2 linked regions of the Oreochromis niloticus genome follow. The protein of the gene in region 1 purifies or fractionates together with the protein of each later gene. This does not show direct contact. Links are inferred from orthologs where the notes say so. Each region holds a gene or a part of one and is shown in the gene's direction. Other genes may lie near its edges.

Evidence for each region.
Region 2: the proteins of chek1 (region 1) and hax1 purify together in Homo sapiens (affinity purification with mass spectrometry; 3 studies listed by BioGRID and IntAct, with this or other methods). This does not show direct contact. The link is inferred for Oreochromis niloticus from reciprocal best matches to the Homo sapiens genes CHEK1 and HAX1.

The regions. Positions count from the first base shown.
Region 1 is NC_031975.2:13,694,228-13,701,542, forward strand, and holds the start of chek1 (serine/threonine-protein kinase Chk1), read left to right. Parts: upstream 1-4,309; 5' UTR 4,310-4,471; intron 4,472-4,701; 5' UTR 4,702-4,702; coding exon 4,703-4,767; intron 4,768-5,715; coding exon 5,716-5,830; intron 5,831-6,607; coding exon 6,608-6,716; intron 6,717-6,934; coding exon 6,935-6,999; intron 7,000-7,103; coding exon 7,104-7,173; intron 7,174-7,294; coding exon 7,295-7,315. Other genes in the region: complement factor B, read right to left, coding at 73-279, 965-1,022. UniProt on the Homo sapiens protein: Serine/threonine-protein kinase which is required for checkpoint-mediated cell cycle arrest and activation of DNA repair in response to the presence of DNA damage or unreplicated DNA.
Region 2 is NC_031985.2:17,528,536-17,535,797, forward strand, and holds hax1 (HCLS1-associated protein X-1), read left to right. Parts: upstream 1-4,488; 5' UTR 4,489-4,634; coding exon 4,635-4,699; intron 4,700-4,980; coding exon 4,981-5,231; intron 5,232-5,486; coding exon 5,487-5,686; coding exon of another isoform or gene 5,687-5,705; intron 5,706-5,777; coding exon 5,778-5,832; intron 5,833-5,928; coding exon 5,929-6,062; intron 6,063-6,156; coding exon 6,157-6,292; intron 6,293-6,363; coding exon 6,364-6,437; 3' UTR 6,438-6,759; downstream 6,760-7,262. Other genes in the region: ubap2l (ubiquitin-associated protein 2-like), read left to right, coding at 54-121, 251-445, 1,062-1,157. UniProt on the Homo sapiens protein: Recruits the Arp2/3 complex to the cell cortex and regulates reorganization of the cortical actin cytoskeleton via its interaction with KCNC3 and the Arp2/3 complex. Slows down the rate of inactivation of KCNC3 channels. Promotes GNA13-mediated cell migration.

The DNA.
Region 1 (7,315 bases):
ACGAAAGGACCCTGAGTTACTATGTTGTTATCAGGCCGTGTGAGGCAAGGGAGAAACATCTTTGCCACTCACGCCTGCATCTCTGAGCTGGAAATCTTTTGGGTCGTGGTCTCCAGGAGTTATTAGCCTGACATAAGCGGGTTATTGCTGGGTATGGATAGTAGCCCTCAGGACAGTGGTATACCAACATGCTGCCTCTCTCCAGGTTGTTGCTCAGTGTGTAATTCCCTCCTTGCATTTGCAAATTACTCTCAGGGCAAGCACATCGAACACCAGCTCCTGAAAAAAAATGTCCACAGTTCTCAGAGGCCACAATTTAAGTTTATCATACACTTACATACGTACCATTACACAATTACTAAAGTAGTGTAAAATTCATGATTTGCCTTTTTTTGAAGTACACAGTATGCAATGGATTCTTTTACTAAAATCACCAGGTTAGTGATTAAGGGTTTATACATTGTTTTACTTACCTTTGTGAAGCATTATTTGTATTACAAGAATTTAAATTGTTATGTTTTAAATGCAAAAAGTCTGATATTTTATATTTAAGACAACATTATTTCTTTGAGCCTGCACTAATTTCCATAAATAGATGATGAACAAAATTTAGTACAGACTTACATTTTCTGAAAAATTCACTATAATGTTCACATTTGATGATGTTGCTAAGTCTCTAAAAACCTGATGGATAGAAGGACGTTTGTCAAATATTCAGAATATATTCAGAATGTACAATATAAAGCGCCTTGAGGCGACTTTTGTTGTGATTTGGCGCTATATAAATAAATATAAATAAAATTGAATTGAATTGAATTGAAGTTATATATTAGTTAATAAATATTTATTTGAACATTGATCAGTTTTTACACCTATAAGGTGCATAAACCTAAGTAAACAACAAACGCATTACTAGAAATTCAAAATTGTATATAACTTTTTATCTAAAATAAAAGTATCTTACCCATCCAAAATGCACATAAAAGCGCTGCAAGCCAACTCCAGTGGATAGAAAATCCCATCTTGAAGCTTAAACTGGGGGACAGTTTAAAAATGAGAGTATATTGCAGAAGTGGTTGATTTATTTCAGAGTAGAGAGTGATGTTTAAACTGGGAGTGGACAAAGACCATCCTGGTACTTATTAACTTTATGACCTGTAAAAGAGGATCAATACATGTTTATCACAGAAAACACTCAAACAATTTCCACATTTACATAAATCCTTCTCAACTGATAACTTATTTAGAATTACACAAAGATCTCTTATCTAATTTATCACTTACAATGTGAGCTGGGACGCTATTTACAGTAGTTATTATTTGGAAACTGCTTTATATTTATTACGTGCTGATGCTAACAACATGAAAAAATTGAGGTCAAAAACAGGGAGCCTTTGGGTTTAATTCTCAATTAAATACATAAATAAATAAAACCACTAGTAGAACATTTACCAAACTGATCAGGTTCATTAGTAAAAAGATTTGCTGTACAAAGAGTCTATGCATCTTTCAGCAATAAGGATGAAGATCACTTCATCACTTTGCGAAAGACTACGTGGAAAACTGACAAATTCAGAGTACACAAGGCACGAGGCCAAGAACTGATCCCGAATGGCCCCAATCTCTGGATCTCCAGCTGGTCCTCTATTAAAGACACACTCGACACTCTACTAGGAATATTTTGCAGTCTTTTTTCTTGATACCTTTTTTTCAGGGAAGACTTTACTCATGTTATGAAAAAGATGCCAAACTATGTGATGTTGTGTTATAACACCTGATTGGTGCAGTGTGAGGTGACAAACAGAAAGCAGCTGAGCAGCTGAGCAGCTGTATTAAGCAATTATCTTTCACTTAAAACAAAAGGTGAAGCAAAACGGTAACAAAAGTGCTCATGACTCAGATTTTTTGATTTTTTGATGTACTGTTTTCATTTATTCAATTGTTTATATATGAAATAGTTAAATGCATCAACTACAAATGTGGGTTGCATGGTTTGTGTTGTGTGTCCTGACCTTAACTAAGTTTTTTTTGGATCCAGGATTTCCCGTTATGTGTACACACGCTGTCACATGTTCCACGAAAAACAAAGTCATTGTGAAACCAAGACAAAGTACAAACATTCGCTTCATCATTTCCCAAAAGCACCAGGCTAGCTTGTTGACACATTGATTCAAGTATTGATTAAACACTCCATCGTGCCTCAAGCTCTCTCTGGCTTTGAGTTTGTTTTCTGAAAAACAGTTAAGAGATTATGTTTTGAAAATGTGATTTTTTGTCTTCTTTTTAATTTACATGCCACACAGACTAACTGGGTAATTTTACAGTGTGAATACTGGACACATCAGTTTCTCCAGGGAATAAACCCTGTGGCACTATTATTTTCCCTTTAGTGACCTGAATTGGAAAAGCCTCAGTTCTGTGAGGGCCTTCTGAAATGACAGTATCTGCTGGAGCTTCCAGCTGAAGCTTCACACTTTCAGACACCTAAAAGTGGTTTAAATAAAAGCTTTGTAACATCCATTAACTAGAAAATGTTTTCTTACATGGGAAGAAAGGCCACTTTTTGAACATTCATTTGCATGAAACTCACAGCTGCATTGCAATTCCCTTATTTTTGACCCACGTGTATTGTAGCAGTTTTTGTTGCTAAAATTGGGTCTTGTGGATTCCACATGCAGCTAGCATGTTATTGTAAATGTCATAATCTGTATTTCTTATGTAGTTTTTTACACTGCACAATGAGTCACATTAGATTATTAACATATAATTACATTAACTGAGTGTATAAATGTTGGTAAATAGAAGGGAATAGATATTAGGACATCATTTTTAATGTCAGGGTAGTGGTAGAGCTTGGTGTCGTTCTTTCTGTGTTGGTGCTGACCTGAGTTAGGGCGACTCTAAATGAGGATGGATGGATGGGTGGGTTTTTGTTTGTTTCTTGTGTTATTGTTTATTTTCTATCTTTTATTACACTTCTTAAAATAGCAAAGTGGCAATTATTACTGTGAAACACCTGCATCAGTAATTTCAAAGAAAGATTTAAAATGTTTTTCAGCTCATTACAAACTCAATTCAAAAAGAATTGTGAAGCTGTCCAAAGCGCTGAAGACAGAATGCAATGACTGGCATATCTCATAAACCCATATCTTAATTACAATTGAAAATAAAAAAACATGCCACATGTTTAACTTTATAGGCTCCAACCCCGTGAGACCCTAATAAGGATAAACGGAAGAGAATGGATGGATGTTTAACCCTTTCACGCCTAGTAAATAAATAATAAATAAATAAAATTTTATTTATATAGCACCTTTCCTGACAGAATCACAAAGTGCTGCACATAAGATAACAAATAATAAAAGGGTAAAACAGACAGTATAAAACAGGCAGAAGTAAAGTCCAAAAAAGGTGAGTTTTGAGTTGTTGTTTTTTTAAAAACAACTACCGAGTCCATAGGTCTCAATGTATGAGGGCAAGAGTTCCACAGTCTAGGGGCCACAGTGGCAAAAGCTCTGTCACCCTTAGTTCTCATCTTAGTCTGTTTTATAGCAAGTAAACCCTGATCAGATGACCCCAGGGACCTGCTAGGGACATATGGCTGTAGCAGATCGGAGATGTAGGGTGGTGCCAGTCCATGCAAGGCTCTAAATGTCAAGACCAGGATCTTAAAATGTACTCTAAATTCAACAGGAAGCCAGTGTAGCTGAAATAGCAATAGTGTCACATGTGAATACTTGGAGGATTTTGTCAACAACCAAGCTGCAGCATTTTGCACAACCTGCAGACGATCCAGAGAACCTTTGCTTAGACACATAAACAAAGAGTTACAATAGTCCAAGCGTTAGGAAATAAATGCATGTATAGCTATCTCCAGTTCAGGGCGAGATAAAATAGGGCTGTGTATCGTATTTAATACATGCAGTTGTTTGTGAGTTTTTGAGACTTCTACATCATCAGTGTGACTTTTTTCCCATTTTAAAGCATAAATAAATTTTGCAATACTTTTTTAAGCAATTTTTTTTTTTTTTTTAAAGGCCAGATGTAGTGAATATGATGCAAATTACAACTATTATAAGGGGAAAAATATGTAAATAACTTTATAAACAAATTTGTCAGGTGTTTCAATAAACTCTCCATTTAAAAAAATAGAATTTTGTGGCAATTATTCAGGCTTTAAACAATGTTGAATAATGAATTGTAAATCTGGCATGTTTAATCCGAATAAGACTTGGATAATAATGAACAGTAGGTGGCAGCTGACCGGCTAAACTCAAAGAAGAAGAAGAAGGGAGGCGTAGAAGAAGACAAGGCGGAAATGACGTCCAAGCGGAAGTTATCGCCAATGAGACAACAACGCGCCAAATTTGTGAAAAATCTTCAGAAGTCAGTGCAGCAGGATGAAGACGTGCGTCTGAGCTTTAAGGATAGCTACATGTGGCAGTCGCTGCTGTGTGAAAAGGCTGAGCAGGTAGGTTATTTTCTCATATTTTCGTATTTTATTTTTCTTAGCGGTTTTCTTTTGAGCATCATGACATTCGACAGCACTCTGTCAAAGTGCTGTCAAAGTTAAGTTTTGTAAGCTGGTAAATGCTTAACAGACACTTGTTAGAAGAAATAGGACCCTTGTTATGAAAATAATGTATACATAAGTAAATATTAGAAAGCGAAAGTGATGAATGCGTGTGTTTCTGTTTCTAGCATGGCGGTGCCTTTTGTGCAGGACTGGGACGTTGTTCAGACTCTGGGAGAAGGAGCCTACGGAGAGTATGAAAGCTTCCTTATCATTGTTTATCATTAGCTTATCGCCTTTAATAGCTGTCCTTTTCCAGCCATTGCACAAGGATTTTTTTCCCCCTTGTTTCATGGGATCATGACAGGCATGTATATGCACTAGAAATGTTCATCTGAAAATCCAAAAACATCACTCACAGGAGACACCTGACTCCATCACAGTCACAGTTAGCCTTGAAAAAAAAAGAAGATGAACCAGGTATCAAAATGTAGGTAAAAATGAGACCTTACATATGCTAAAACATGTTTAATGTTATGAGACTTTAAAGTTTAACCATTTTTACCACAACAATTCCATGGTTTTTGCCATGGAATTGTTAGAAAACAAATCAAACACTCAGGGTAGCAATGACTGCTTCTATCATTCTTAAATTATGGCGTTATGCCACCATTAAATGAGGTGTCCAGAGATACCAATGCTCAAAGTTGGTTATAGAAGAAAACTACCGCACAAAAAGAACCTTTTAACTTTAGATTGACTCTTTAAGTGGGTTTAAAAAGATCTTAAATATCTTTGTTTGGTTTTTTTGTTTTTCTTGTTTTCTAGAGGTCAAAGTCAAGTTTATTTATATAGCACATTTCCAACAGTGCATGCTGCACAAAGTACTTAACAATCTAAAATGCAACTAAAATAAATAAAATGCACAACAATGATGCAGTAAAATATAGAAGGGGAAAAAAAAATATAAAATAAAAACAACGAAAACAGACGGAATTTGACACCTGACGTTCTGATTTTATTGAATAGTTTAACAAAGTTTAAAGTACTTGAAAATTATCTCTAGAAACACTGTAGGAAGATTTTAGCTCTTTGTGCATCCTGATAACTTCCACTCAGACTTCCTCTCACTTCTCTTCACCTCCGTGCTCTTTTCTCTTTATGATCTAACCGGTTTGTCCTCTTTGTGTTCTTGGTCTCAGAGTGAGGCTGTTGGTGAACAGACAGACTGAAGAGGCGGTAGCAGTGAAGGTCATCGATACCTCGCAGGCAAAAGAGTGTGCTGAAAATGTCAAGAAGGAGGTCTGCATCCACAAGGTACATCCATCACCTTCACCTGCACAGTTAGTATTATTGAAAGCAGCGGCTCACCAGTGGTGTGTTGTGAAACAAGTCAAGCTGTTCTTAAATCCATATGTTAATACAGTAAACAGCTGCATGAAATAAATTGTTAATTAACTGAATCACAGCTTTGTATGCTCTCATTTCCCTTTTCCTTGCATCAGTAAAAAAAAAACACAGCCTGTTCATGCCAGTCCCAGACTGTGAGAATTAGATAAAAACTGTTACTGTTGTGAAAACCAACTCTAGCCTCAGCTGATCTGGGGACGTTGGTAGCCCTCAGCTCGAGGGTGTCATTTGTTGGGAAAAGCTACTGCTATTCCAGGCAAGCTGAAAGCAAACATGCAGATAAGAATACAGATGTACAGATGTGTCTGCTTGTTTCGGCTCACCTAAAATGATGTGACATGATGACAAAAGATCCAAAAACCAGCTGAACAGACACCGAAGAGGCAAACTGAAAGCAAACATGTATGAAGTCGTACTTCATACTGGCTAAAATATAAAGAACTGGCATTTGTTATTAATGTTGGTTAGATTCGTAAAGATAAACTGGCTGAGACTGACCAGTTTGTTGCTCTAGTTTACAGATACAAACTGATTGTAAGCAATTTAACAGACACTGAAGTTGTTTTTATTTTTTTTATTGTTTTAGATTTGTTGAATTAATTAAAAACGTTAAGCTCTTAGCTAAGTAGAGTGATAGCTGAGAGCACTGTTTTGAGGATCTTTGTGTGTGCACTTAACTCATAGATGCTCAAACACACCAACATTGTACGCTTCTTTGGCCATCGGAAGGAAGGACCCACTGTGTACCTCTTCCTGGAGTACTGCACCGGGGGAGAGCTGTTTGACCGAATCGGTGAGCTGCAGACACACATTTGACGAGGAAACTGTCATACAAGAAAAACCTTTTGTTTGCTGATTTATTCTTCCAGCTGTAACTTTCCTGACTCAGATATGATTAGCATGAATACATGAATTCAGCTTAGCTGAAATGCGTCTGGAGTCTTCAGTAATCATTCTTTGCAAATATTTGATTTCGGTCTTACTCTCTTTCTTCTTTTACGCTCTCTTTAGAGCCCGATGTAGGGATGGCTGAAAAGGATGCTCATAGATTTTTCCAGCAGCTAATAGCGGCTGTGGTGAGTGAAGAACATCTTTGTGTTGATGTGACTTCCTGCGTATTTTCCTGCTGTTATTCTCTTTTTAAGTTTTTTTTTTTTTTTTTTTTTTTAACCTTTTCTAGGAGTACCTCCATGATTTTGGCATCACACATAGGGACATAAAGCCAGAGAACATTTTGCTGGATGACAAAGGTGAGGAAATGCAATCTTTATCAAAGGATTCTCTTTTTAGGATTCTCTTTTATTCCTTATAACCACCGCCCTCTGGGGTTGACTTTTTTTTTTCTTTTCTTTTCTTTTTTTTCACCTTCAGATAACCTGAAGCTGACAGATT
Region 2 (7,262 bases), on another chromosome or scaffold:
ATTCGGTTTAACAGTTAATGAGCTCAGTTTGTGTCGTTTCCCCCTCTCTGCAGGAGTCTCTGTGACATCAAGCAACACGGGAGTACCAGATATTTCAGGGTCTGTTTACACAAAGACGCAGGTAACTACAGAATAGAACAGAAATATTTACTCACAGGATATGCTTTTGCTTGTCTTGTAGCAGCAAACAAACAAACAAAAAAACGTTATAGTGGCCAAACTGATTATTTTTCTTCCTGGTCCCCTGCAGTCGTTTGAGAAGCAGGGCTTCCACGCCGGGACGCCAGCTGCATCATTCAGCCTGCCCTCTGCGCTGGGCAGCGGGGGCCCCATCAACCCTCCTGCCGCTGCCGGCTACGCTCCAGCTCCATTCATGCATATCCTGACACCACACCAACAACCCCACTCTCAGATTCTGCACCACCACCTGCAGCAAGACGGACAGGTGCAGTGTATATATAAATGCTTACATATTTGAGGTCATGCGATTTTTAGAAACAAGCGGAGCAAAGGCATTATTCGTTGACAAGGAAACTCCACCCAGTGAGTCAAATAGTAATGATCAACAGTCTGAATGAGCTCAAAAATGCATAGACTTGAAAGTAAATGATGGAAGTGTGTCGACACCAGTTCCCCGAGCGGTGACCAATGTAGCGACAGCTTTAGAGCCTGAGATCGGGTCGGCTTTAAGGTTGAAAAACGGCATCCTTCACTGTCTCAGTCACCAGTGTCTAAACGGCGACAAAAATTTATGGTCAACGCTGAAAAATGAGTGGGCGACATCACTGTAGCTCCATCTTTTATATTCAGGCTGTTAACTAGTCGACAACTTCCAGTCTTTTTGATAAAGCACGTTCAAAATAAATGAAGTAGCACTCGAGCATCGTGCAGTCAGACTGTTATAAGTAGTAATACAAATCTAGTGAATTGCCTTTAAAAGATTTGTTGGCAAGTTCATTAAGTGTTTGTGGTTTCACCGTGACATTAGCTGTGCTGCTTTTAGGTAAACACATGGCACGAAGCGGCAGCTCACTGATGAACTTTGTGACTCTCCTCCACAGAGCGGCACTGGACAGCGCAGCCAGAACGCCTCCATCCAACAGAAGTCTCAGATCAACAAGTCGGCGTACAACAGCTACAGCTGGGGGGCAAACTAACATCCACTCACGGGACCCCACCCCCCGCAGTGTCAAAAAGCTGGGAGGGGTGGGAGGCTCTTCACTCCTTCGGCAAATAAGTCTCCACATATAAATCCCCGCTTCCTCCTGCAGAGATTTCCCTCCAGTCTCTTGGCCCAGCACTCCCACAGCTCTGACCGCGGTCAGAGGAGGTGCTGTGCCGAGAGAACGAGCACTGTTAATGATGCATGGATGGATGGGTGGGAGGGACAGGAGGGGCTTTAAAAGTGAGGGGAGATTGGAGATAAATGGTGATAGAAGCAAACCATCAAGAGGGTGAAATACTAAGTGTTGGGAATTTGTATCGTATTAATCTTCCCGCCCCTTGCCCCCCCATTTTTTTTCTTTCACTTGTAACATAGAACTGTTTTTCTAAATGAACGTTTCCTGTATGGTCTTTTTTTTTTTTTTTTTTTTGTCTTTTCCCACTTTTTTTCCCACTGAAGGGGAGGAATGAAGTAATCTCTAAAAGGGGGTGGGGGCAGGCTGGTTTTGTATTTCAGACCCTCAACTCCCCCGTTCCTTAATTTTGATGGAAATTCTTCCCTCCTGAACCATTTCCAAACACAATAATTTGCCGTTGACTTTTCATGTTTTGGGGGTTTTTTTGTTTTGTTTTGGGGTTTTTTTTTTTTTAATGTCATTTTAAGTTTGCAGAAACAATTCTATAAATTGGTAGAGTTGTGAAGTTTATTTTTTACCGAATATAGATATATTATATATAAAGACATATAAGCAAGCTCACTGGCTTTGACTGTGAGGAAAAAGTGTGTTTGTCATGTGACTGCGTGCATGTTTGTACACACGGGGGGGCCATGGTTGCGTACTGTGCTTGGGTTTTTGTTTTGTTTTTGGTTTTTTTGCCTAGCACAGGATTTATTTTTGTTTTTTCATTATCCAACACTTGTACAGTAACTTTTCCCATTAATTATAAATATTTCATAAGGCCCCTCTTATTTTGAAAGATGAGAATGATTTCCAAGGCCAATACACACCCAGTCTGCCTTCCAGTGTGAATAACTTTGTTTCTGAGGCCCTCCCTGCCCCGCCACCTGTCCCCCCAACATTGTAAGGAAATCTGCGGCATTGAATACTGATGGACAGAATTGTACTATGGGTTTTTTCTTTTCTTTTTTCTTTTTTTTTTTTTTTTTTTTTTTTGTCAGTGATTTTTTTTTTTCTTTTTGTACTGTGCGTTTTAAAAAAAAAAAGTTTAAATGGATAAACTTGTCTTGTACATATATAAAAAAAAAACACAAGTACTGTAGTCCCTGTTTGTTCGATGGCTTTCTTCTTTTCCTTCTTAAATCCTTGCAGACTTGTTAGCTTTTTTGTTTTTGTTTTTTTTATTTTGTAAAAATATATAAATATTAAGTAAATAAACAAGAAAAAGACATTTTCATCATTTTGGATGTGAATGTCTTTTTAAGAAACTACGTTTCTCATGTGGCTTTTAAATACTTGAACATACATGATACAGTTCGTGGATGACATGTTGGGTAGAACTAAAACCTCTGGAGGCTTTCCAGTTGGTTTCTGTTTGTGGGCTGAGTCATAATAAACTCCAGGATGTCGAGTACCAAATGAAACTCCAAACTTATAACTACATCACACATTTTCTGGCCATGTAATGTACGGTATTGGTTGGTATTGGTTCTTTATTTTGTTTTTGTACATTTTAACCTCCATCTGTCTTGGATACACGTTAGCATTTTATGTTTCTCCATGATATATTTTCTACCCCCCTAGATATGCATCTTGGCACCTTTCTAGTAGGCAAATGAGAGACAGAACTGTACTTTTAAATGCCAGTAAATGCTTCCCAAAGGTGCTGTGTTGGATTGAGGTCTTTTACTGTATTAAACGCAGCTAAATTTGATTTTACTGGCTGAGGCTTCAGACTGCTCTAAACACTTGGTCTCTATTAGGTTTCTTGTGCCAAGCTCATGTCAGCTTAGTATGATTTTTTTTTTTTTTTTTTTTTTTCTATATGTGATTACACCTTGCAAGCACTAGGTTCTGTTTTTAGAAGCCAAGTGAGTTGCAGCCAATCAGAAGACATTGGGCTCTCAATGAGTGGGCTTGAAAAGGGTCATTTCAGGTAGTGGATGAAGTGAGACGTAGCAGAAATTGGATTTCTTAAACTCTGAATCATGCAAAGCTTCTGTATTTGGAGCATCAGAATAAAAAAATACTAAAAGCTGTAGATGTTCTCTCTAAATGAGCTCTGATCCTATTTGGCATAACTGTACTATACTCTCATTTCATGAGATATATATGAGCCATACACTTACCAGTTACGCCTTGCTAGCAGCAGATTGTACTTTTTTTTTTTTTTTCCTCTTCATAACTGCTTAAATTTTTTCATGGCACTGGAAACATTCCTCAGAGATTTTGGTCCCCGTTGACGTGATAGCATCACACAGCTGCAGAAGATATGTCAGCTGCACATCCATGATGTGAATCTTCCACTCCATCCCAAAGGTGCTCCATCGGATTGAGATCTGGCGACCGTGGAGGCTGATTTAAAAACTCATTGTCATGTTCAAGAAGCCAGTTTAAGGTGCTTGATCTGTGTGACTTGGCCTGTTATCCTGTTGGAAGCAGCAATCAGAAGTTGTCAGCAACAATACTCAAAAAGGCTGTGGAGTTTAAATTGTACTAAGGAGACCAAAGTGTGCCAACCACCGATACAAAATGGTGCCAAGCTTTTTGTTAATACCAAATTCTCACCCTACCATCCAAATATCACAGTTGAAATGGAGACTTATTAGAAAGGCAACTTTTATTCAATCTTCTGTTGTCCAATTTTTGTCGACTCCGTGCAAACTGTAGTCTAATTCTGGTGTACCCTTCAAGGTTCAAGGTGGTTGACCATACTGCCAATCAATCAATCAATCAATCAAACCTTTATTTGTCACATGCAAGTTTTCACCTGCAGTGAAATTGGACCCCCCCCCGACCATACATACATAAGACAGGTCGGAGACAGGTAGTAATTGGAAGAACACTGAAATGTACAATACAATGGGCAAATGGAGGAATGAAAAAAAGAGACCTCATACTGGGTTCCTTGTGGGAGGTCAGCATGAGAACAGAAAACAAAAAAAACTCCTCTGCACAGAGAGCACATACATCTTGACATCACAACACCATGAAGCACATGACAAGCAAGGTGAGAAGTGAGCCGATGTAGACACAGCCATCTTGCCAGCCCCGGGCATAGACCCGCCGTCTGTTACCTGAATCTCAACAGTGCGCTTTTATTTCGAGTGCCCATTTTATCTATTATTTACGGTAAAATAACATTACGACAGATTGCGTCATGATGAATCGTCTAGAACGCTTTACGACACTGTTGACAGCTGTAGTACATCTTGGCGAGTTTCTCCAGTGGATGTCCGCTGCTTGCACATTTTAAGTTATGGTTTAAGTGTCCACCAAAGCTGCAGTTAAATGAGTGTTTTTGATTTATTCCGCGGGTTCTTCGGGGTACCCGGAGGCCATTATCGTGGCCGGAGGTGAGTTTATGGCGTCGAAGTACGCAGCTGTACACTCGGCTAAGCTAGCTGAACTTAGTACACTTTCTGTTGCGTGCAGCTATGTCAGGGACAAGATTAGTATTTTCTGCCAGGAAAACCACAGGGGTCCTTCAGCTAGATTTATTTAGGTGTTATTTATGCTCACGGAGTTAATACGATTGAGTACTTTGAGGTCTGTTTGCTGGCGGCATGTTATAACGCAGTTTCTAAACCAAAGGGAGATTTCAAAGCTTGTACATTTGTGTTACTTCGTCTGTCAGGGACCCTTTCTTCGATGCCATGACTCATGACGATGATGACGATGAAGATGATGAAGATGGATTCCACTATGATGGGTTCAGTGGGGAGCAGCAGGACCCCTTTGACAGCGCCTGGAGGTTTGGCTTCAGTTTTGGCCCGGACGGGATGCGGATTCAGGACCCCCCGATGTTTGGCCACGTCCTCAGGGAGATGGAGGAGATATTCTCCCAGCTGGGTCGTTGGGAGGGACATCCAGAGGCTGGACACTTTGGTATGAAAACAGACCCACATGTTTTCATGTCGCTTGTTTTTAATGAAATGTAAAAAAACCCCAAAAAAACAAGTAAAAAAGTGTCAGTAAAGATGTATGGTGTACAATTCTTTCACCCTGGAAAAAGAAATAATTAAAAGCGCAAAATTAATCATGACATCCATGCCCATGAAGACTCAAATTCTAACCACAACTCGACATGTTCCTCTGCTCTGTGTTTAACCTGTTTGCTCTTTTGCCCTCTTTGTGTTTTAGATGTTCCCCACATCATGCCACCACCACCGTCTCAGGACAGAGCAGAGAGAGGGCAAGCAAGCTCCAGTGGAAACCCTCTGAGAGACTTTATGCTCAAATATCCTGACAGTGACACACAACAACGATCCAGAGAGCCCCGAGGTGATCACCGACCTTCTTACGAGTCACCTGAATTTCATGGCCGGACCCCTTTTTCCAGGGTAAAGGAGATATTCACTCCTCCCTCTTTGTTTCTGTTGCGACACAAGCTATTGTATATTCACTGAGATTTTTGTATTGTGTGTTTAAAAGTTTAATGATATTTGGAGACACAAAACTCCAGAGGAGGAGCACAAAGGTGACAGAGGTGGGTGGTGATATTTACATTTTATTTGATAATTTAGTGGAAGCTCTTTTAGATTGTGTCAAATTTATTTTCTATTCCCATTCTGATCCTCCCAAGATCTGGACTCGGCTGTGTCCTCTGGTGGCTTGGATCAGATTTTGACACCACCTGCTGGTCAGGCACCAAACCAGCCCAGAACACGGTCTTTCTTTCAGTCTGTCACTGTCACTAAGGTGGTGAAGCCTGATGGGGTGAGTGTTTCTTAATTCTGTATTAATACATTCATAGTGATTCTTTTAATAGTTTTGTCTCAGTTTTGATGAGCATTTCGTTTGCGTGTGTCAGAGTGTAGAGGAGAGGCGTACGGTAAGAGACGGCCAAGGCAACGAGGAGACCACGGTGACTCGCTCGAGAGGTTCTGGGATTTCTGAGGGACCAGATCATGCGAATGGACCTGTGCTGCCAGGTCAGCTTGTCTCGGGTGTGTGTTCTTTGAATTGTTTATTCACACACACACAAAAAAAAAAGTATTTATTTTTGGTTTTCTTCCAGGTGATCCCCACCACTTCTCAGACTTGCGGGATGATGACTCATTATTCTCCAGGTTCTTTGGAGGCTTTAAATAAAATGTGAAGGAGTTAGTAGAGATGTGAGCTAGCATATTTATATTACATACCAATGTATGGACAAACAGTTTCATGGACTTCCTTTGCCAAAATGAATATGTTGGATAAAGTCTCGCTGGCTCATTTAAGATGAAACTGGAAGTCCAAACTGATCATGCAGGATCGAAGCTGCAGATCCTGAAAGCTATTGATGATGACACACTGAGACACATGAGACGCTGAACAATTCACGTTTCCATATTTTATTTTTGTATTGTCCTGTAGACAAGCCTGTGTGGATGTGAGTGAGTGAAGAATTAAATAAAGACTCTTAATATATGTACAAAGTTGTTTGGCTCATATTTTTGTTAGTAACGGTATCTTTAGTCTTCAGCTTCTACATTATCAAGAAAACGAAATCAACTGCACAATATACTTTTAAGCAAAACTTTAAAAAAAATGCTGGACGTATGATACAATTTAAAATTCATATTACTTTTAATTTGACACAAGGATCCATAAATGCTTCATTTTCTAGCAGCTATTTCATGGTTCAGGCTCTACAGGGCTACAAAGTTACAGGGTCACAGTCATTCTATACAGCTCATTTAAACCTCGAGTGAGACGGACGAGTGACGCTGCCCTTTCTCTTAATTTAAAGGAGCTTACACATTTAACCGTTTGTGTCAGTTTGTCCACACGATAAAGAAATGCTGTTATTTTAAATGAAAGAAGTCTGTAAATCCAACCAGTTGTGCTTAAATTATAATTAGTAAATGTGCAAAATTACCGAAACATCTGGTAGCTCATCGCCTGGACTGTCCCGTAATTATACAACAAAGTTTT